Drosophila melanogaster: one gene and its partners. The protein of the gene in region 2 interacts with the protein of the main gene of each other region in a pairwise test. Each region holds a gene or a part of one and is shown on either strand. Other genes may lie near its edges.

Evidence for each region.
Region 1: the proteins of Pdhb (region 2) and alc interact in a two-hybrid assay, tested with the Drosophila melanogaster proteins (one large-scale study listed by BioGRID).
Region 3: the proteins of Pdhb (region 2) and CG13280 interact in a two-hybrid assay, tested with the Drosophila melanogaster proteins (one large-scale study listed by BioGRID).
Region 4: the proteins of Pdhb (region 2) and knrl interact in a two-hybrid assay, tested with the Drosophila melanogaster proteins (one large-scale study listed by BioGRID).

Annotation. Positions count from the first base shown.
Region 1 is NT_033778.4:9,134,870-9,139,732, forward strand, and holds alc (alicorn), read right to left. Parts: upstream 3,065-4,863; 5' UTR 2,731-3,064; coding exon 2,083-2,730; intron 1,127-2,082; coding exon 896-1,126; intron 837-895; coding exon 690-836; 3' UTR 506-689; downstream 1-505. Other genes in the region: Hydr1 (alpha/beta hydrolase 1), read left to right, coding at 1-184.
Region 2 is NT_033777.3:29,111,229-29,116,697, reverse strand, and holds Pdhb (pyruvate dehydrogenase E1 beta subunit), read right to left. Parts: upstream 3,628-5,469; 5' UTR 3,558-3,627; exon of another isoform or gene 3,490-3,557; 5' UTR 3,441-3,489; coding exon 3,249-3,440; intron 2,705-3,248; coding exon 2,543-2,704; intron 2,270-2,542; coding exon of another isoform or gene 1,802-2,269; exon of another isoform or gene 1,752-1,801; intron 1,605-1,751; coding exon 1,193-1,604; intron 1,132-1,192; coding exon 1,012-1,131; intron 951-1,011; coding exon 739-950; 3' UTR 501-738; downstream 1-500. Other genes in the region: Atg14 (Autophagy-related 14), read right to left, coding at 1-230; alpha-Man-Ib (alpha-Mannosidase class I b), read left to right, coding at 4,201-4,287, 4,385-4,657, 4,826-5,339, 5,423-5,469. UniProt on the Drosophila melanogaster protein: The pyruvate dehydrogenase complex catalyzes the overall conversion of pyruvate to acetyl-CoA and CO(2). Might play a role in regulating synapse structure formation at neuromuscular junctions. Might play a role in maintenance of mitochondrial morphology.
Region 3 is NT_033779.5:16,818,069-16,823,088, reverse strand, and holds the start of CG13280 (uncharacterized protein), read left to right. Parts: upstream 1-1,995; 5' UTR 1,996-2,082; coding exon 2,083-2,146; intron 2,147-2,158; coding exon of another isoform or gene 2,159-2,211; intron 2,212-2,279; coding exon of another isoform or gene 2,280-2,371; intron 2,372-2,429; coding exon of another isoform or gene 2,430-2,558; intron 2,559-2,613; coding exon of another isoform or gene 2,614-2,966; exon of another isoform or gene 2,967-2,977; intron 2,978-5,020. Other genes in the region: Cse1 (chromosome segregation 1), read left to right, coding at 1-4, 73-375, 441-597, 654-954, 1,028-1,765; mdy (midway), read right to left, coding at 2,159-2,211, 2,280-2,371, 2,430-2,558, 2,614-2,966.
Region 4 is NT_037436.4:20,617,631-20,622,471, forward strand, and holds the start of knrl (knirps-like), read right to left. Parts: upstream 3,030-4,841; 5' UTR 2,112-3,029; intron 1-2,111.

The DNA of each region.
Region 1 (4,863 bases), on a different chromosome or scaffold from region 2:
CCTCTTCACGGAGTACTTCACCAAGGCGCTGTTCGACGAGGATGGCGAGTTCCAGCACACGGCCAACAAGATGCACGAGCGATTCTTGGCCAAGCAGACGGTGGCGCTGGCCTCCTCGTCACCGGTGCTGTTCGCCAAGAAGATCGACGCCGATCAGTTGGACCACAAGGTCAAGCTGATGTGAAGCTGGTCGGTCGGTCGGTCGGTCGGTCGGTCCGCTAGTCTAGTTCAGTTTTTGTCCAGTTGAACACGTAGATATACGAGAATGTTTGTATTCCGATAGATTGCCGTCGGCGAAGACTCTTGTACACATGTGATATGAAACGTTGATCAAAATCCAAAGTGTTGTTATACTTATATACAGCGAACAGGGAACCAAATTATCAGTCAGTCAATATGCATAGTTGCTTAAATTACTCTTAGATCGTGACTTTAGTGACATATCAGGTTGAAATTGCAAATAAGCTGTACGATTCGTAGTAAATTCAAATACAAATTACAAATTATGACACAATGCAATAATCTTATATTTTTACAAGTTCCGTATATTTATAACTAATAAAAATACAACGCTTAATAGAGAGAAAACTAAAACACTTTTACTCATAATAAGGTAAATTTGACAAGCGGGACGTGGTATCCCTCATAAAAACCATGTTCCTACAGCTAAAATACCAATTGCGAGTTGCCTAAATGGGCTTGTACAGCAGCGTGGTGACGTACTTCTTGCGATACCTGTGCGTGGCACTCAGGACCATGACGCCATCCTTGATAGACAGGGCGTACAAGTGGTTAAGCATCACGTGGTTGGGTTCCGGCAGCAGAGTGGGTTCACACTGAAACAGAATAGGGTAAGGTTACGGTCGGTAGCTCTCGAGACAGCGACAATACCCACCGATAGCGGTGTATCCTTGTTGAGGATGACCTGGAGCAGATGGGGCGGCAGAACGGGCGGGCCAGATACCTTCTCCCAGGGCTTCACCTGCGGCACCTCCTGCGAGTACTCCTTCTCCGCATAGTTGGTCACGTTCTCGCTGTCTTTGGCTAGGGCCTGGAACACCTCGAAATCGGATTCTCGCACGGACACTAAGTTATTTCTCTGTCCCTCGGCGTTCTCCACGCTTTTCTAAAATAGCAAACCGATAAGCTATAATCAAATTGTCTGTAACAATAGTTTGGGCAATTGGGACAATATCTGCAGGCCTCGGGTTGAGTTCAATAAAACTCATGAAACTTGATAGCTGAGTTTGCGATAAAACAAAAATTGGGCAATACTTCATGAAAATGTGGCTGGGCAATGACTGCTTTCTATAATTAATAACGTACTGTTGCTACTTGTTTCGAGCAATTTTGAATTATATACAACAATTTGGCTTGCTACATATATATATAATACAAAAATTTGTTCAATGGTTTGCTTTCGTTTTGCTTACTAATTTAAATGTCAGATAAACTACATTATTTATTAGTCATTAAAACCATTATGGTTTAAATACGTGAGCTTCGTGAACTATTCTTAATAAAGATTTAAAGTCTGTGCATTTAGTAATTCATTTCTGATTGCTTTTCGTCTTCATGCAATTCTGCAACTATTTTAACATTGCGAAGTAGGTCATATATTCTATCACAGTCCTGAACTTTGTTATCCAGAAAAATATTTTATCTAAGAAAACGTTACTATTCCCTTAAATCTTTTCTATAGTTCAAATTGTTCGCCTGATAGCAATGTTCAATGGTCACTTAGATAAACTGTGTCCACAAAACTAGCGACATCCAACCGGATTTAGTAGTAATCTACAAATGGGTTTTATCGCAGTTTGCTCCCTTAAACTTGTAACTTTAATTGCATTTGTTATTTGCGAAGCATTTGAACGGGGTTCCTCAAAAAAAAAACAAAAAAAAAGCTAAAGCCGGATGAGCATCTCTGAACCCAATTGAAATCCACTACGATTACTGGGAGACTTCGTTTTGTTTACGGCGATTACACAACCCGGGGCGAAAATCGGTAACTGCGTCATTCGGGCGCCCGAATCAAAAACACTGAATAGCCTGCTGCATATATTGATTTTCCGCCCAACTGACCAGCTTGGGATCGTGCTTCCACTCGCCGTCCACGCAGAACTTGTACTGATGGTCGCCCTCCGGCAGATCTATGATGGTCACGAAGTTCTGATGGCTGCGCACCATGGCCATGGGCTTCCAATCGGAGAATGTGCCCGAGATGGTGACGTTCTTGCCGCCGCCGTCCCACCGCAGAACTGTGGGCAGTGCCGTCTTCCGGATGTCGTCCTCATCGCCGGTTAACTGAGATCCAGTCGCTGGCTCCGCTCCTACCGCTGCCTCCTCCTCCTCCTCGTTGTTGTCCATGCTGGAGTGGTCTCGGGTAACAGCTGATGTCGCGTCGTCGTGTGCGGTGCCTCGTCTAGTGGATCCAGTTCCAGTTCCCGTGTAGTACGGGTCGTCGTCTTCTTGCGACGAGCCCTCGTTCAAGACTGCCGTATGTTTTTTGTCGAACGAGAAAGCTTGGCCTCCGCCGCCTCCTCCTCCACCCCCCGCAGCTCCCACCGCCCCCGCTGCAGCGCCCAGAGCTGCTGCGCCAGCACTCCCGCCCTGTCCCGCTCCTCCTCCACCAATCGAATCGCGGAAATGTGCGGGAGAGCTCGGCGTGGACAAGTCGGTCGACTTGTGGCGCTCGCGTTGCATGTGCACGGAGGAGCTGGCGTTGCCCATGCTTATTGCCGTACTCGCTGGCTCGTCGGCAGGTCACGGACCGAGTATAATGATTGGATTTGGACTGGGTTCGACTGCTCCCTTTGTTTGGCACTTTATACTTCGCTTTAAAATGGACTCGCGTTTTTCGTTGGATTACTCTAGTACTCTGATCACATCACCGTTCGTGGCTCGAAGTCTGTGTGTTGTATTTGGCATTTAGTAGGCAGAAAACTGCATTATTTAATCGTTTGTTTCGTAGAAAAATTGCTAATTATAAACATTTACATATATACACAGGCAGTATATTCGCAGTTCCAATTGGCGAGAGCACACGCAGGGTTGCTTTCCCGTGAGTTCAAAACAAAGAAGTTATCGGGCGACAGCACACAGTGTGCCGCCCTGGTCTTAGCAGCTGTGACCGTTATCGGAGCTGCCACTCGATTTGAATTTATAGTTAGGTTGAATGTTCTGAAAATTAAAGTGTCATGGGTTTCCAGCACCTTCAGAAAGTTAAGATTACGTGGAATTAGATTAAAGTGGCAGCCACTCATTAAAGATTTTTAAATTCATAGCAACATTCTTTCAATTCTTATCATTTCAAGACAATAGATTGCATCGGTGAATTGCTTGAGTTTAATCACTATCCCAAAGCTATCAACCAATTAATAAATAGGTTAATGAATCATACAATTTATCTATTTATTTATGAATTCAACAGAATTAATTCCACTGAATTATCGGCTGACAAATCCAGATTAAACGGGTAAAGAGTGCTTTCCTAGTCGACTATATTCCTGTAAATGCGTAAAACGAGCATTACAACAGCGGAAAACTGAGGGTGCAAAGTCCACGACAATCAACATGCATCGGAGCACAATAAAAAGGCAAAAGTGGAAAGGAAGACTAGGCAAGACCGAGAAGAGTGACAAAGAGCGAGGGCGGAAGTGCGGCGAGGACAAGGCTGATCTGCGATGAACACCAGGTAGAAGGTAAGTGTATCCACCGCACAGATTTAGCCAAAACAGTCCAAAACATATGTATGAAAGCAACTAAAAGAAACGGCGATCAAAACAAACAAATGTTTGGTACCAGTGTACCACAGATGTAGAAACCAGACGCTTTCCAGACTATGGCAGCACCCCAAGAAACTCTTGGAAATACTACTCATTGCTACACCGCACATATGACGTACACTTGGAGAAACAAGCACATTCCAAACAATGCGTATGTACCTAGTTATTTCATTACAAGGAATTGAATTTAATGTACCCAAAGTTAAGCAGTAGCATTTAGTATTTATGTTTTCTGGATATATTAACTGAATGAATAGGAAACTTGTACCTAAATCCATTTCAGATCCGTGCCATTTCTTCCAGTGCACGAGCGGCTTTCCCATGTGTGTGTGCTGCGTGGTAGCCACTCACACAGCGGCAAAACACGACGCCTTCGCATTTAAAATTGATTAAAACTAAAAACACTCGATGCCGACGCCGTGCCTTGTTTCGTTTTCAGTGCGATCGCAGACATTGTGCAAAACGGTTCACAGTTCTCTCCTCGCGACTGCAGGTGATCGAGTTTTTTTCGTTTGAGTGCACTAAAAAAAAACAGAGCAAGCGCAGCAACTGGAGTTGGAGTGAAGCCCCAGGAGTCACGTCCCTTTCGAAGTCGAGTGAACTAAGCATTTAAGGTAGGTCAGTTGGATGGTTGGCTACAATGGGTTGACCTCGCCCGGTTATTAGTCTCGGTTCACTTTGCATTTGGTGCTCTTCAAGGTCCGCAGCCCGCTTATCTGGCCACGTCCGACTAACCCATTGATCGGAGCCCAGAAGGCCCGGCGGAGTCCCAAACAACTTAACTATTTCCCATGGCTCCCGAGGGCGGCGCGTGTTTGCGCCGATTCTCGACCACGTTATCAGCGATCTGCTTAGCCAGTGAACTGTTCTGAACTGCTAATTGATAATATGTATGCGGCAACACCTACATATGTACATACGTATGTGTATACTTACATATTTAGATTCGAGTTGAAACTGCGTCGCATTTGCCACTTAGTTGCCGTTTTCCCAAAGCCTGTTTGATCAGCCTACTCTTCACACATACTCCCCTCCGGATGAAGCACAAAGAGCCTCCATCGGTGAAAAAAAAAAACAA
Region 2 (5,469 bases):
CTGCAGCTGTGGCACAGTGGGCACCGCATGTGGGCACCCATTCCCGTGGTGGCGTTCCTATCCTTGGCGTTCGCATCCTTCAACAGTTCCTTCGTCGCTGCCGTTGGCCTGCGCTTTGTTGTGTATCCTGCGACATCTGATTCCTCGTCCTCGCCGTTTGTGGAGGCGCTCGAGATGCGAAAGTTGTCGGGGGCCTTGCAGCTTTCGTCGGAGCTGGAGCTGTTTGCCATTACAGCCAAAGCATTGCAATTATTTGTTATGTTATATCTTTTGTTATTGTTAACTTTGCTATTATCGCTATCGATATGAGGACACCTATTGCTAAACGATAGGCTGATATCGAAAAAATAGATGTCGTCAGTGTTGGACAGCGTTCAATAGGAAAACGTTTTCATCGGTGCGCGCACTTTTTAAACTTCAATCATTAACGATAAGAATTATATATTTTTTATCTTCTGATATTATATCATTAACTATACCAAAATATAAGCACTCAAAATGTATTTATGTTTTCGTTTATTTTTCACAAGAGATTTCTATAACCAAATAATTAAACTAGAACGTCCGAAAACTAATCAAAACCCGAAAGCGGTAGTGCTTTATTTTCAGAACATTCAATTTCCAGTTCGGTGCACTATTATGGGGGCAGCTCGGTTAGACCAGAGGCAGCGTTTCGACTTGGACTATAAATTTAGTTAGCTGGGGGTTCCGATCGGGAGGCTGGCTAGTCCTGAGTTCCTACTTGTTGGCCGCAGCGGCCTTGCCCACTTTGCCACCCAAGACCTTAAGAGTCGCCTCCACGAGATCCTGAACGCGGGGCAGGGCGTGGGCCTCCAGCGTCTTGGCATAGGGCATGGGCACATCCACGCCGGCGCAGCGCCATACGGGGGCGTCCAGCTCGAAGAAGGTCTGGTCCTCCATTATGCGGGCGCAGATCTCAGCTCCAACGCCTAAGAGGGTAAAAATTTATAAATATCGCTAGGCTTTCAATTAGCTGAATTTCCCACTCACCGTGTTGGGGCCAGCCGTTCTCCACGGTCACCAGATGGTGGGTCTTTCGTACAGAGGCGAAGATGGTCGCCGTGTCCAGAGGACGAATGGAGCGCAGGTTAATGACCTCAGCCTCAATACCTAAACATATAAGAGAAGGTTAGCTACTTTTCGCGTCATTCAAAGTAAAACAGTGCCGTACCCTTCTTGGCCAGCTCGGCAGCTGCCAGAAGCGATGTCTCCACCGCCTTGGAATGCGCCACCAGGGTAATGTCCTTGCCCGGCCGCATTACCTTGGCCTTGCCGATGGGCACCAAGAAGTCCTTGTCGGCCACGTTATCGGCCACAGGGAATGCCGTGCCATAGACCAGCTCATTCTCCAGGAAGACCACTGGATCGGGATCACGGATTGCGGACTTCAACAGTCCGCGGGCATCCTCGGCATCGTATGGCGAAAGGACCTTCAGGCCGGGGCAGTGGGCGTACCAGGCGGCGAAGCACTGAGAGTGCTGGGCGGCAACACCGGAAGCGGCTCCATTGGGACCACGGAACACAATGGGCACATTGACGGCACCGGCAGACATGTAGAAGGTCTTGGCCGCCGAGTTGATGATCTAAGATTTGAAATTTTAAAGGGATATATTTTAGCAATCCATATTATTATGAATGTGTAATATGACTTAGAAATAATAAAGTGAAAAATGAATGAAAATAATGCTCAGTGTGGATGCCTGTTCCATCAAACTGCAAATTCGCCAATTCAAGTTAATACGCTTTATTTGATGCACTCCTTTCTGTTCCGTCTTGATCTTTACTTAATGCCTAGTTTCTGCTTAATGATAAATGCCGGCAGGCGGCGTCCCTTCCAGAAACGCGGCAGCGGCGTCTCGTTGGCCTGCCGCAGGATCTCCGCCACGTGCTGCTCCGCACTGAATGCCTCCGCCTGCTTGATCTGGGATATCAGCTTTGCTTGGAAGGCCTTCTCTTTGCGCATCTCGCGGCGCTGGCGCACCTTGGCCCACTCGAACTTCATCTTGCGACGCAGCTTCTTTAGCTTGTGCTTCTTCATCTTGCGCCGCCGAATGACGATGAGGCGGGCCGCCTCCATCTTGTCCGACTTGCTCTTGTCCAGCGGCGGCGCAATCACCTCGCCGACTCGATCTCTGTGCAGGATGTCGTTGATCTCATTCAGCCAAGTTGAGCGTGGACTTTCAATTATGAGGCTTATTGGCAGAGGGCGATCACCGACTGGCGGCTTGGCGCAATCGAGTATCTTTGCCTGCACATAATCGGATAATATGGGTGGGGATTAGTGAGGTCCGATCTATGACTTGGGGCAGGAGCTAATCCACCCATATTATCCCATTAAGCGCCGCTGCATATTGCACTTGAATTGGTCTATTTGCTAGCTGTTGGAGTTGTGAGGCATTTGTATTGGATTGTCGTGTTCTTTCTTTTGGTTTACGTTTTGTTGGCAATGAGATAATATGAGTAGTTAGCCTACTGCTGGAGTGCGGGGAGTGGTTCTTAGGACAAGGATGAGGCAACTCACGTGATCGATGGCCTGCATGGAGAAGTTCCAGGTCATGAACTCGCACACGGGACGCAGACCGGCCATGGCAGCGCCAACAGCGATGCCGGCAAAGCCCATCTCTGTGATTGGCGTGTCGATGACGCGCTTGTCGCCGTACTTCTTCCACAGTCCACGGGAAACCTAAAAAGGGCATTAAATGATTAATAGAATGTTAGGATACCAGAAAAATATGTAGGGCTTATTCAGGATGGGAACCTTTTATCTGTTTGTAAAACTTTCCAAGCTGATAACTCATTAACTAAGATTTCTTCAGGAAATACCATTATTCTAACAGGTAATTGTATTGTACTTTGCGTGTCCTATCTAGTTGTTACACCAGTAGCCACAATCATAGTTTAAATGAATCTAATAGGATAGAATTGCTAACGCCGGTTATCAATCCACCTCAAATGGGTAAACAAATCGTTGTTTTATGGGCCAATCTATATAATCAGCAGACAGTCGGTCACACATATTCTGCGTGACCTTGCCCACTCCGATCACGCATTCGGATTCGCGTCGACCTGTTCGGAATCACTATCAGTAGTTACATATAGCACGCATATATCACCCCGCTGACCACCAACTTCCCCCATCCCGGCCACCTGCATCAGCTGTCGTCGTCGCAACCGCCTGCTTGCTGTTTACGTAATCGCGCAGGGGCAGGAAAAGTCGCAGATCTCACCTTGTAAGCACCGTCGTACTGGGCCACCTCCTCGCCCAGGATGAAGACGCGGTCGTCGCGGGCCAGCTCATCGTCCAATGCGCTGTTGAGGGCATCTCGCACGGTCATCTGCTTGGCCGCCAGGGCCTTCTGGCTGGTGGAGAACGCTCGCTGGGCGGAGCTGGCCGCCTGGATGAGTCGGGTTCGGAGCATCGTCGGTTTGCGGTTCGCTTTCCTATGGGTCTATCGCTATCGTTGCCGGCTGTAGGTGTTATTTTTTGGGTTTTAAGTGCTATTATCTAACTAAAAATGGGCTATGGGTTTACGCACCGACTTCCGTCGAAATTTTGATGTGAAAATGGGATGTGACCAGATGTGACCACTTTAATGCCGTATTGTGGGCACACTTGGAGCTTACCAGGGCTGCCAAATAAATCACTGTTAAGTGGGACTAGTGTTGGCCACTCTAGATTTGGCTAAATTCATACTGTGTTAGCTGGATTTTCGAAAAAATTAGCCACTTCGTATTAATATATATTCTTTAGAAAAATTCTTTTATAAAGTAGTGATAATATCTAAAATATAATTTAATTTGCTTTTTTTTTATTTAAGAGGTATTTCAAAAGTAAATGATTGCTAGCCCCATCTTTAGTTTTGGCCGGACTGTTGAAGAACAAGTTGGCAGCATTGCAGCTCAAAAATGCAGCTCTCGTGAAATAATTTTAGAATTTCTTATTTGTAATTTTGCATAGTGTGGGCCAGAACTAGCATATATAAATTAATGCACTGGCACGTATAGAGATGATTAAGGCATAAAAGAGGTAGTAGTTGGACCAACCTTGGTTAGTTAGCTCCGATTCCTCCGCGGCCAGCGGCGCACAGCAATCGATTTTTATTCGAGGCGAATGCTGTGGAATTTCCCATCCAACTTTCCCACACTCTGAATTCCGGCGGCGGCATTTAGTGAAACACTATGAAGGACGGCGGTCACATAACGCTCACACTCCCGCCGGGATCAGCGGCGACGACGGACGAGCGGGGCAGGAAGAGCCTGCGTCGGGTAGGTAGCAACCTGGCAGAAGTCCAGTTGCTGGGGTCCTGGGACATCCTCAAGAAACCCAGAACTTATAAGTACGATCTTTTGTCTCACGGTTCAGGCTTGGAATCAGCTACCGCGTTGTCAGCGCAATCTCATTATTCTGGGCATCACCGGATTCTGCGTGACAGTGTTGCTCTGCCTAAGTGGCGATCAGCTGCTGGCTGCCAGCTTAAAGGATGTGGACACCAAGGCCGAGGTGGCAGCATATCAAATGCCCCTGCCCAATCCGCACCATCATCCGGGGGTGGATAAGGATGTGCCCAAAGACACTGCTGCGGTACCTGTTCCGGCCGATAAGAGAGCACCCCGGGTGGAGGCGGTTAGTGATAAGGTAAGTAGGCCCCCCACTTAATTGATAAGTGCCTAAGTGGCTGGAGTTGTTTGCCTATTAAGATAGCATGCGTATCAATACGATTGACTATTGGTGTTTGATTTATTGCCCACGCAGCACACTTCCAGTAAAATCTATTAATGATATCTCAATATCAATCAATTTCAGTTTAATGAGCTAGTTGCCTATGGAGAAGCGAACTCAGCGGAGAACGTGGCCCGTCTGCCGGAGACGGTGGCTGCTGAAGGACTTCCCCAGGCCTCGGCCATGGCCGTGGCCTTGCCTCCCCCCGATAGTAACAAGGAGCAGGACATCGGTGGAATCGACATCCTAAACAATGTAGAGGAGCCCGTCGCCCAGGATCCAGCAGAGCCGCTTAGCGAGGGCGAGCAGCTTGAGCAAGCCATCAAGAACCCACTCACTCTGGGCGGCGTTAGCTTCAAAGAGCATCTCAAAAAGATCAAGCCCATTCTGGCCAAGGGCCAGCACTTCCATGGCGCCACCAACGAAAGACAGTCGGCTGTTGTAGCCGCCTTCAAGCACTCCTGGGCTGGCTACAAGAAGTATGCCTGGGGCCACGACAACCTGAAGCCCATCTCCCAGTACTCCCACGAGTGGTTCGGTCTGGGACTAACCATTGTTGACTCATTGGATACCATGTACATAATGGGACTGGATGATGGTAAGTTGCCTATATCCTAATGTGCACAAAATCATTAGTTTATGGAAATACTTTCCTTATTTTTCTCAATAACATCTACACAGAATTCAAGGAAGGACGCGACTGGGTAGAGCAATCACTGCGCTTTGAT
Region 3 (5,020 bases), on a different chromosome or scaffold from region 2:
AACAGTAAGCCCAAATAACCATTTTCCCAATTCGATCATCTTATATCTGCATTCTTCCAATGCTCTTTGCAGTTAACGAGTTTCCTGTTCTTAAGGCTGCTGCAATTAAGTATGTAATGGTGTTCCGCAGCATTTTGGGTCCCCAAGTCTTAGCAAGCTGCCTGCCCCAGCTAATTCGACATCTCCCCGCCGAAAGCTCTGTTGTTCATAGCTATGCTGCTTGTTCAGTGGAGAAGATCCTTTCTATGCGGGATGCTAGCAACGCGATCGTTTTTGGTCCTCAGATTTTAGCACCTTACACAACTGAACTAATTAGTGGGTTATTTGCGACCCTTTCACTCCCAGGTTCCGGTGAAAATGAGTACGTAATGAAAGGTGAGTTTGGGGGACTATCTCATACGTTTCTAATATGTTAACAAAACTCTAATTATTATTATTAGCCATTATGCGAAGTTTTTCGGTCTTGCAATCGGCCGCCATGCCCTTTATGGGCGTCGCCCTTCCACGGCTTACCGAGATTCTCACCCAAGTGGCCAAGAATCCATCGCGTCCGCAGTTCAACCACTATCTTTTTGAAACGCTGGCTCTGTGTATAAAGTAAGTGTTATGCATTTTGGTGGTAAAGAGCAATAACAAATTTTCTTTTTCCCTAGAATTGTTTGTCACGCCGATTCCTCGGCTGTGAGCTCCTTTGAGGAGGCATTGTTCCCAGTTTTCCAGGGCATCTTACAGCAGGACATTGTCGAATTTATGCCCTACGTCTTCCAGATGCTTTCTGTGCTGTTGGAAATGCGCGAGGGCACTGGTACCATACCGGAACCCTATTGGGCTTTGTTCCCCTGCTTGTTGTCACCAGCTCTGTGGGACAGGACGGGCAATGTCACACCATTAATTCGCCTGATTTCTGCTTTCATCAAGCAGGGATCTGCTCAGATTCAAGCCTTGGGTAAACTGGTAAGTTATATTATACATCACAAATTTTATTTTACAGAGTCCAATCTTATGCATTTTTCAACATATATTTCAGAGCGGTATCCTCGGAATATTCCAAAAGATGATTGCCTCCAAGGCTAATGACCATGAAGGGTTTTATCTTCTCCAGAATCTGCTTTCCTACTACCCTCCCGCTGAGATTCAAACTAATCTTCGTCAGATCTTTGGCCTGCTCTTCCAGCGATTGTCTCTCTCAAAGACTCCGAAGTATTTAAGCGGCATCATTATCTTCTTTAGCTTTTATGTGATTAAGTTCAGTGGCAGTCAGATGGCTCAATTGATAGATGAGATTCAGCCTAACCTATTTGGCATGCTGCTGGACCGCGTGTTTATCACCGAAATGGGCAAGATTCCCAAGGAACAGGATCGCAAAATGGTGGCCGTGGGTGTCACTAAGCTACTTACAGAAACTCCTGAGATATTGCAGCAACAGTACGCTACTTTCTGGCCACGACTGCTGCATTCTCTAATCGATCTTTTTGAACGACCACCAGAGAAATTGATGGGTCTCGAAATAGGAGAGACAGCTGGAGTTGCCGAAGATCCCGATGCGGGCTATCAAGTGGCATTTGCCCAACTGACTCATGCCCAGCCCAACCAGCAGGATCACCTGGCTGAGATTAAGGATGCTCGCCAGTTTCTAGCAACTTCGCTCTCTAAGTTTGCCCAGGCTAGGGCAGGAGAATTTTCCACTTTGTTGTCGCCCCTGGAGCCGGAGTACAAGCAAGTACTCCAGAAATATTGTGATCAGGCTGGAGTACGCATTGCCTAAAGGAATCGACCGACTTTAAGCTCATTCATCGCAATCAAACCTCGCCATACATTCGAAAATTTATGCATACACGCACTCGATCACTCATTGCATGCCCAGTTTATTGTCATTTAAAAATTGTATCTAATATATGTAAGTTTTGTAAACAATTAAAAATTATGTTTTCCGAAACTAGTGTGTTTCAACTGCGATAACTTCTGAATATTTCATACTTTTCTCTCTGATAAACAAATCATTTCTTGTCAAACACCCTTCACTCAATTTCAAAATTGTGAATTTAGAATTAACTAGATATTTCGAAATTTATCATATAAGCCATGTTCAAGCTAATAACGTATTTCAAGTCACGATCGAAGAAAATAGGCGTGAGATGCTATCAAAGTAAGTACTTACCATGGCTAGACCCTTCTCCACAGCCAAACAGAGCGAGATATGCACTAAAGAGTCTGTAAAATATGGTGAGACGAAGGTTATCAATTTCGTTTGCGTAATCCTTGATTTTGTGCGTGCTTACAAATGCTCAGGATTAGGGCGTTATGTCCTTCGCCTTCGTTGTGTCCGCTTATGAAGAAGAACCAATCCAGTGGATTGATGCGAATGCCATACCTAAAAAAATAATGAATTAGCTAAAACTTGTATTTCTACTCAAGATCATCGTAGTTACTTTAGGAGATTCTCCAAGCCCAAACGCAGACCTCCAATGCAGAGCAGTAGAAATCCCCAGTTCACCAGTCCAGAAAAATTGGTAAATCCAGAGCTCCAAGAAAACAGAGAATCTCTTGGCCGATGGATTCTAAAAGAGGCGAAACCCTGTATTTGGGCTAAAGTAGTTTAATTTCCCTACTTACGGTCTGCCAGGCTGAGCTCTTCTCTGCTTCTCCTCTTTATTGGAAATCTCCTCAGCACGAGTCACACTTTGTGTTCTCCTGTATCTAAGCTTCTTCTCGGATCCGTTGGTTCCATTACCATTTTCATCCTTATCCAAAACTTTACGATACTGTCGCAGATCTATGGGATTCCCGTGCTGATCGAATAGATTTTGTGTTGACTTGCGGTTTCGCAGACTGCTAAGATTATGCTCTGTGGCGGACGCCGATCTTCTCAAGCGCTTCATGATACCCACACCGCTGGATCCGCTATTCTTGGTCGGTTGTTCTGCTTTCCCGGGCTCCTTATCTTGGGGATCCTTATTGGTGGTCATGGTGATGGTCTCTATATTGAAAGAATTTCAATTTATAGTGATTACTTCTAGCTTATCGCAAATTCCGTTTGCAGTTGAAATGCAAAGATAAGATTTGTTTTGGTACCCCTTATAAAATGTTTGAGTGCTTTTATTTTGACACACAAATAACTCAGATGGGATCCCAGGAGGTTGTAAACAGTGGAGGCATTTTCAGAGTCGCTTATCTATTGAATAAATACGCAACTGAGATAAGAAATAATGAGGGTAATTAAGTAATAAGATGTCTTAAGCACATATCTTGTTTTTTATTTATGAAAATCGTTTTATTACTTGCTGAAGCTGGTCATATATTAGTTTATTAGTAAACAGAGCTATATGTATGTTAGAGAATAAATAGATCCATACAAAACCAGAAGCAAAATGCGGCTTGAGGTCAAAGTTCAGCTGACTGAGAGATTGCTGATTGAGTAATCAGATACCGATTTGCATAGACATTGAGCCCGCATTTGATAATGTGGTTAAGCCAACAGCTTCTCACTTAAATCGTTTAAAACCAGTTGTAAAGCTGCTACGATCGTACTTGACATTAGCTCCCACAGTCAAGATCGCATGTCAACCAAATGGGAGGGCATTATCGCCGTTAAGCCTCAAAGTTTCAAATCCACATCCACCTTTTGCAATGAAAATTGTATAGAACTCAAGAATCATCAACAAATAAACGGTTGATATGTGCAGATTCTATTTTTGAATACAAATGCGATTCAAGTTATAGATTTGCGTTCACGTAACTTGTTTTTGTTAAACAACGAGTAGCAAGATACGATTAGGAAATTGTTGTCTCAGCAATTATTTAATATTTATAAATCAGTGAAATACCTACATATATGTATGCAACTAAAATTAATGACGAAATTTGTGTGTGTTATCTGTTGAAAAGATATCTTAGGTAACAAAATCTACGTCATGTTACGAAGGCAACCATTTTTACCTAATTGTTTTATGCGAGTAGTTTGTTGATACCTTGTTTATTTGACATCAAAGTTCGATCACTATCGCTGCTTATCGCTAATGAACCGAAAAATCAATTTAAGTGATCGTGGATGCCAACCTTTTCAGTAATGGCTTTTGAAAGTTGTAATGTATACGATTCGAGTTCAGGATTGAAATAATTTATGGTTTTGAAAAAAGGACAGATGAAGAATTTTAGCAATTTTTGTCTCGCAGCGTGTATTTAGTATTCCACTGGCGGAAAACACAAAGTTTTACATAATTATTCAGTGCGTTGAACTGATCCAAGTGCAACAAAGACATATACTCCAATCTCATATGTTCGTTCATGGGGAGTTCAGTACGATTTCAGTCGAGTCACCGTGACGCAACGTCATTCAGAACTTCAAGTCGGAGCTCGTTATGGCCCATCAACCGAATGATGAGTAATTTACAGGCATCGAGGACCGAGGCAGTCCGAGATGTACATGAAGCATTCAAAGAGAGATTGCATTATATGCACCCATTAATATACATATTATAAATCCGTGCAAATAAGTTAATCAGGATAGAACTGTAGAGATATTTTGAAGTGCAAGGTAAAAGAAGAAAGCAAAGTCGACTCATTGTGGGTTCTTATTAAAAATGTATATTTCAACGTCTAGCTTCATTTGAGTTATATATTTATAAATGCGCTACAATTGTGACCTCTGCTGTTTGAATAGATATGTAAGAACACACATATACAACCCGCATGTGGAAACCGAACCTGAATTGAATGCTCTCTGCGGTTTGACGATTAGTTTGTTGAACTTTCGGTTTATATTTAAACAATCGAAGGTGGGGGCGGTACAGCGGTAACTGCAGCAGAATGATAATGGATCTTGGAAAAGTTTCGTCTATTTATTGAGCACTGTTGATCTTTATTTTGTGCTCTGCCCTAGGGCGAACTTAAAATGGTGAAAATATTCCAAACATTTTAGTTGTCCATGTAGGACGGATAATTACTGTCGGAACCGGTTGCGGCTTTATAAGGAAGAACTTTCCATAGCGATGATAAAAGTAGGTCAGTAACTCAAGTAGAT
Region 4 (4,841 bases), on a different chromosome or scaffold from region 2:
GCTTGGTACTACTTATTATATGATCAGGTTATTCCAAAGGTGGGTCAATATCCCTGATATTTGATCTGCACTTGTTTAATCGAGCTTTTGCCTTAAACTGATTGAAGAATAGCTCCTAATCCGTTTGGTACTCTGACATTTAACCAAGCTGCCAGCTAATAATAATAATAACCATAGTAATATCATTATATATCGCGATGCAAATGCTGGCGGAACTGGGCTGCATAGCTGCACCTAAAAACGAACGACGAAGACAATCAGCTGCCTCACATCAGCGGCTCTCAAGAAGAACCCCGAGAACAGCTCCGTGAGTCACCTCGCATGGGGACCCACTTCTGGGCAGAAGACTCGGCCAGGTCGGATCCCCACCACCCGCCCCTCGCAGCGAGGAGGCATGTTAACTGACAACAGGTGTTTGCTGCTTGCCGTTTGTCTTGAAACCTTGCGGCCTGCTTGCCACATTTGCATTTGATATTTTGTATGCTTGTTTTCCTGCCACTGTTAACGCGTCCGCACTAAATACTTTCACACATTGCGCCCCCTTTCTGCTCTCCTTTGGCTTTTCCGGCCTGGGACTCGGGCCCCTTAAGGATGTGGACTGTTAAAGTCAGCACACGACCTTGATGTGTTAATTTCCCAGCCACTTCTGTCAGTCATCCGTCCGAGATACACTTTTACAATTGTGTTACAATAAAGGGAACTATCTGAAACTCTATACAATTGCACAATTGCAGATAATTTAAACATAGAAATTATCTTTATACCGTGTAAAAAATTGAAAGGATAGTTTAAGTATATGGATAATATTCTAAGTTTCCTTAATTTGTACTAAATCGTTGGGACTTCAGTGTAATATAATAATATCCAAATATCCAATTTTGCATTAGGTGCATACCTTTTTTTAGAGTGTTGGTCTAAGGAACAGCCTCAGGAAAGAGCTGTGATCTTAAAAGGTGCCAGCTAAATCAACCAGTGAAGAAGATTGCCCCAGCTAACTAGAATAAGTGCGCACTCTGCGATTTGTAGAACATGGCAAACTTACAAGGCACTCGCCATAAGTGCGAGTATATAGGTTCTGCCAATATTTGCGACACATGCAAAAGCAATCCAAGTTAGATTCTTCATTTGCCTGCAAGCGAGTCAGGGCAAAATGCACTTTAAAAAATTATCAGTTTTTTAGATACAAATCTTCTGAATTTCCAAAAATGAATGATCACTTTATTTCTAATTGAAAAGTCACTTCTTTGTAAATATAGTTAGATGATAGGCATTTCTCATTGATCAATAGAATATTATATAAATTATTATTTAAGCTGCAGCATCAAGCAAACTAAAATGTTCACAAATTTCCAGCTTGAATATTCTAAGAATTATTTTATCAAAATAATTATTTTTGATCCTTGATGGATTAGGCAGCACCACTTTCCATTTAGTTCCTTCGCTATTGAGCGCAATAATTTCTTTCAGTGCCGCAGTTAATGCCATTCCCATGGATTTCGCCTGCGTTTTCGAATTTTTGTAACAAATATTCTGGCAAATAAAGCTATACACGCTATTTGCATTATAAAGCAAACATGTGCGGCGACTATATCTGTGCAGGCCATCTCGCTCGCACTTGACTTACATTGATTCTGTTATATAGTCGTAAAGTTTATTTGCCTTGCCCTTGCATGGTTGTTGTTGTTGATCTAGCCATGTTTTATGGCCACACTAAAAAGTGCACTGGTCAACAAAGATCGGCCAGAGAAAACTTTCTCACAAAACCGTAGCTGGGGGCTATAGCTCCTACTGGGCTGTCGTATAAGTGTCATATAGGGGAGTGTGTATATGGTTTGTATAATTAAATCATACAAACCCCGCCGACAGTCGTAGACAGTTCGTCAGTTAGTCGGATTGTCAAGCGTTATCTGGCGTCGCCATCTTCATCTTGATTTTTTTTGTTTTATGAATTCTATTCGTTAATGAAATTCACATGTTCCCCATCTACAACTCCGAAGCCCCATCTCTATCCCCATTTTTATGTCCGCATGATGGATGTGTCTCAAAAAAGCCCGTTCGTTCCGTTTCTTCTATATTTTTTTTTGAGGGCGCCATTGAACCTTTGAACTTACCTGCTTTTACTGACCGATCAGCCTATCAAGTTAATCCAATTTATTTGCTTAGTGTTTCTATTTCGTTGCGCACTTAAGGTCTGCGTCTCCTAACATTGTGAACTTTCCGTTTAAGGTTTTGTGTATTTTCGTGTATTTGCTTGCTATTATTTTTTGTTCACCTTGCGCCAATAAAACGTCACTTGAGCGTATAGAGTTGTTGCTGTTTTTGCTCAAATTGCACTTGACTTTTAGAACTTTAGGCGAGCGTGAAGCATGTTTAATATATATCTTTTGGGTTGTTTGAGTATGTGTGTTTTTGCATATAGCAGGGTGTACATATATCACAAGGAGGCAATATTTTGTATAATTTTTATTGTAATACAAAGTTTTAAAGTTTTGCAGTATGGTTAAATTTTAATTTAGCTAGAGATATTTCCGTGGGACTTTATTTGGTGCTGTTTTTACGCCTTCTGTGTTTTGAATGCGAGTTTTTATGGAGTGACCACACCTTTGTGTGAGGGCACTCCTGGCTGCGCACGCGCACTTGCCGTAAATTTCTTTATTTCCGCTTTCGTTTGCCGCTTTTGAGTTTTTTTGCAGTGACGTGTTACAGACTGAACTCTACTATTTCAGTTGGCACTACATATACATATTCGTAGTATTGTTACAATTCATTTTATTTAACTGAGTAATTTTTTGATCTTAATTTGCATGTGTTGATTTTTAGCGGCGGCCAAAACAACGTAACGCCTGGGACGTAAGACGAAGACGACGCAACGACGACGGCGACGTGCGATCGAGCGTGCGAGCAAGAAGCGCGAGCTATCACTAAAGACTGATGTTAAGCAGTTCTGCAAAGTGCTCACACCGCTGCGACTCGGCGACTCAGATGCTTTGCAATATCATCCGACGAACGCTCGGTAGCACACTGAGCTGAGACTTCGGCTACCAGAGAAGTAGCAACAACAATATCTCTGGCCGGGGAGATGATACTACTATAAACAAAAACTACAAACTGGTCGAAGAAGCAGTAACAGAAACCGAAACAAAAACAAAAGACTGCAAAAGCGACAAACTCGAGCCCAGCTGGGGTGCGATTGTGTGTGTGAGGAAGAAGACGATTCCGATTCTCTCTAACGGTGATACACCCGAACTCTCAACCCCCAACCGAAAGACAACCAGGGAGAGAGAGAGCGAGAGTGAGACTTAAAAGAGCGACTTTGACTCAAATTGCCTGTCTGTGTGAGCCGCTGTTTGAGTGATGTTAACTCAAATCCGAGTCGATTCGGCTATTGAGTTGTATTCACAGATCAAGCTGAAACTGAGTAAATGCATATGAACATATATTAAAAACGTATAATTACTAACATAAATACGAACTATAACTATAGAAAAGGCACCAACAAATTTAGAAAAAAATGCATGTCGTGTTTGCAATATATATATAAATTGCACAGTTTATTTCTCGGTTAAGATATAATAATAAATTCCTAGTAACTGCGAACAAATATAAGTCGTTTAAGATGTAATCTAAGTCTATTTAGCGTGTTGTTTAATTTGACCAATCTTAAGTATTTCCTTTTTCTTTTTTCTACTTTATTTATAATCAATTTTATTCGTTAGATAAATATAATATAATTTAATAAATTTAACGATTGTTAAGGAACATAGTTTTGTTGATTTAGTGTCCAATGTTATATAACTGGGGAATATTTATGGCAAGCTGATCAAATGTGGTATATAGTAAATTAACAATATAACATACTTGATTAGTTCAAAAAAATAAGATACAATACAATATACAATATTTGCCTCCAAATACATCATTATTTTTCCAGTTGCTCACTTTGAATATTGCACTCGATTGTTTTTCTCAATCGCTCACCATTTTGTGCGGCTTTTGAGTGCTTCACTCACAGGGCACACACTCTCGTGAATATATCTACTCGAAGAATTCGTTACCACATTTGATTGGCTCGATTAACACAATCGGAGCACCGTTATATCCAGTATACTCACACAGACAACCGGTAAAGAGAGCGGCGTGCTCATGAGAGCGGAATCCACTAACACCAGCGCAAAACGGGATCGTGCTGCAGTCGTCGTCGGGTGTTTTAGATAAACGAGCCGATCCCGTTTGCCGTGGGCGAAAACGAGACCGGACTATAAGGCCATCTCCCGTGCATCGGGCGAGTTATATACCCGGCATATATGTTCTCGTTTCGCTGACCAATGCAGAGCAGCTGGCTGAGAGCTACCCATGCAAACGAGAGCGATCAATGAGAGCGATCACTCACACAGACGCATCCATCGAAATCGTATTAGCGGCTTGCCAGTGGGCGTGGTCTATCGATCGGGGAGTTTTAACCCACCACCCACCTCCCCTGAACTCAACAAAAGTCCATCGAACATTGCCCACTTCCAGCGATCTCGACTGAAAGTGCGAATGAGAGGGACTAAGTGTCTCCGAAAGAGAGGGGAGTACGTAAGACTCGAGTGATGGAGTTTTTCTAACGGTCTGCATCTAATTCCTCTTTTTTTTTGCATCTTCCACTAGTTTTTTCGCCCGTTTGGCAGTTGTCAAGCTGTCATAGTTTCGATCATTAAATGCGATATCTGTTGATAGCCATAAGACATTTTACGATATTACTAACATTGTTAGCTGGCGCCCCCTAGTGCGAAAGAGAGACAAACTCGCCGATCCGCAAGTTTCCAGATGCCGTCCGCGGGATTAATGTATCATAAATA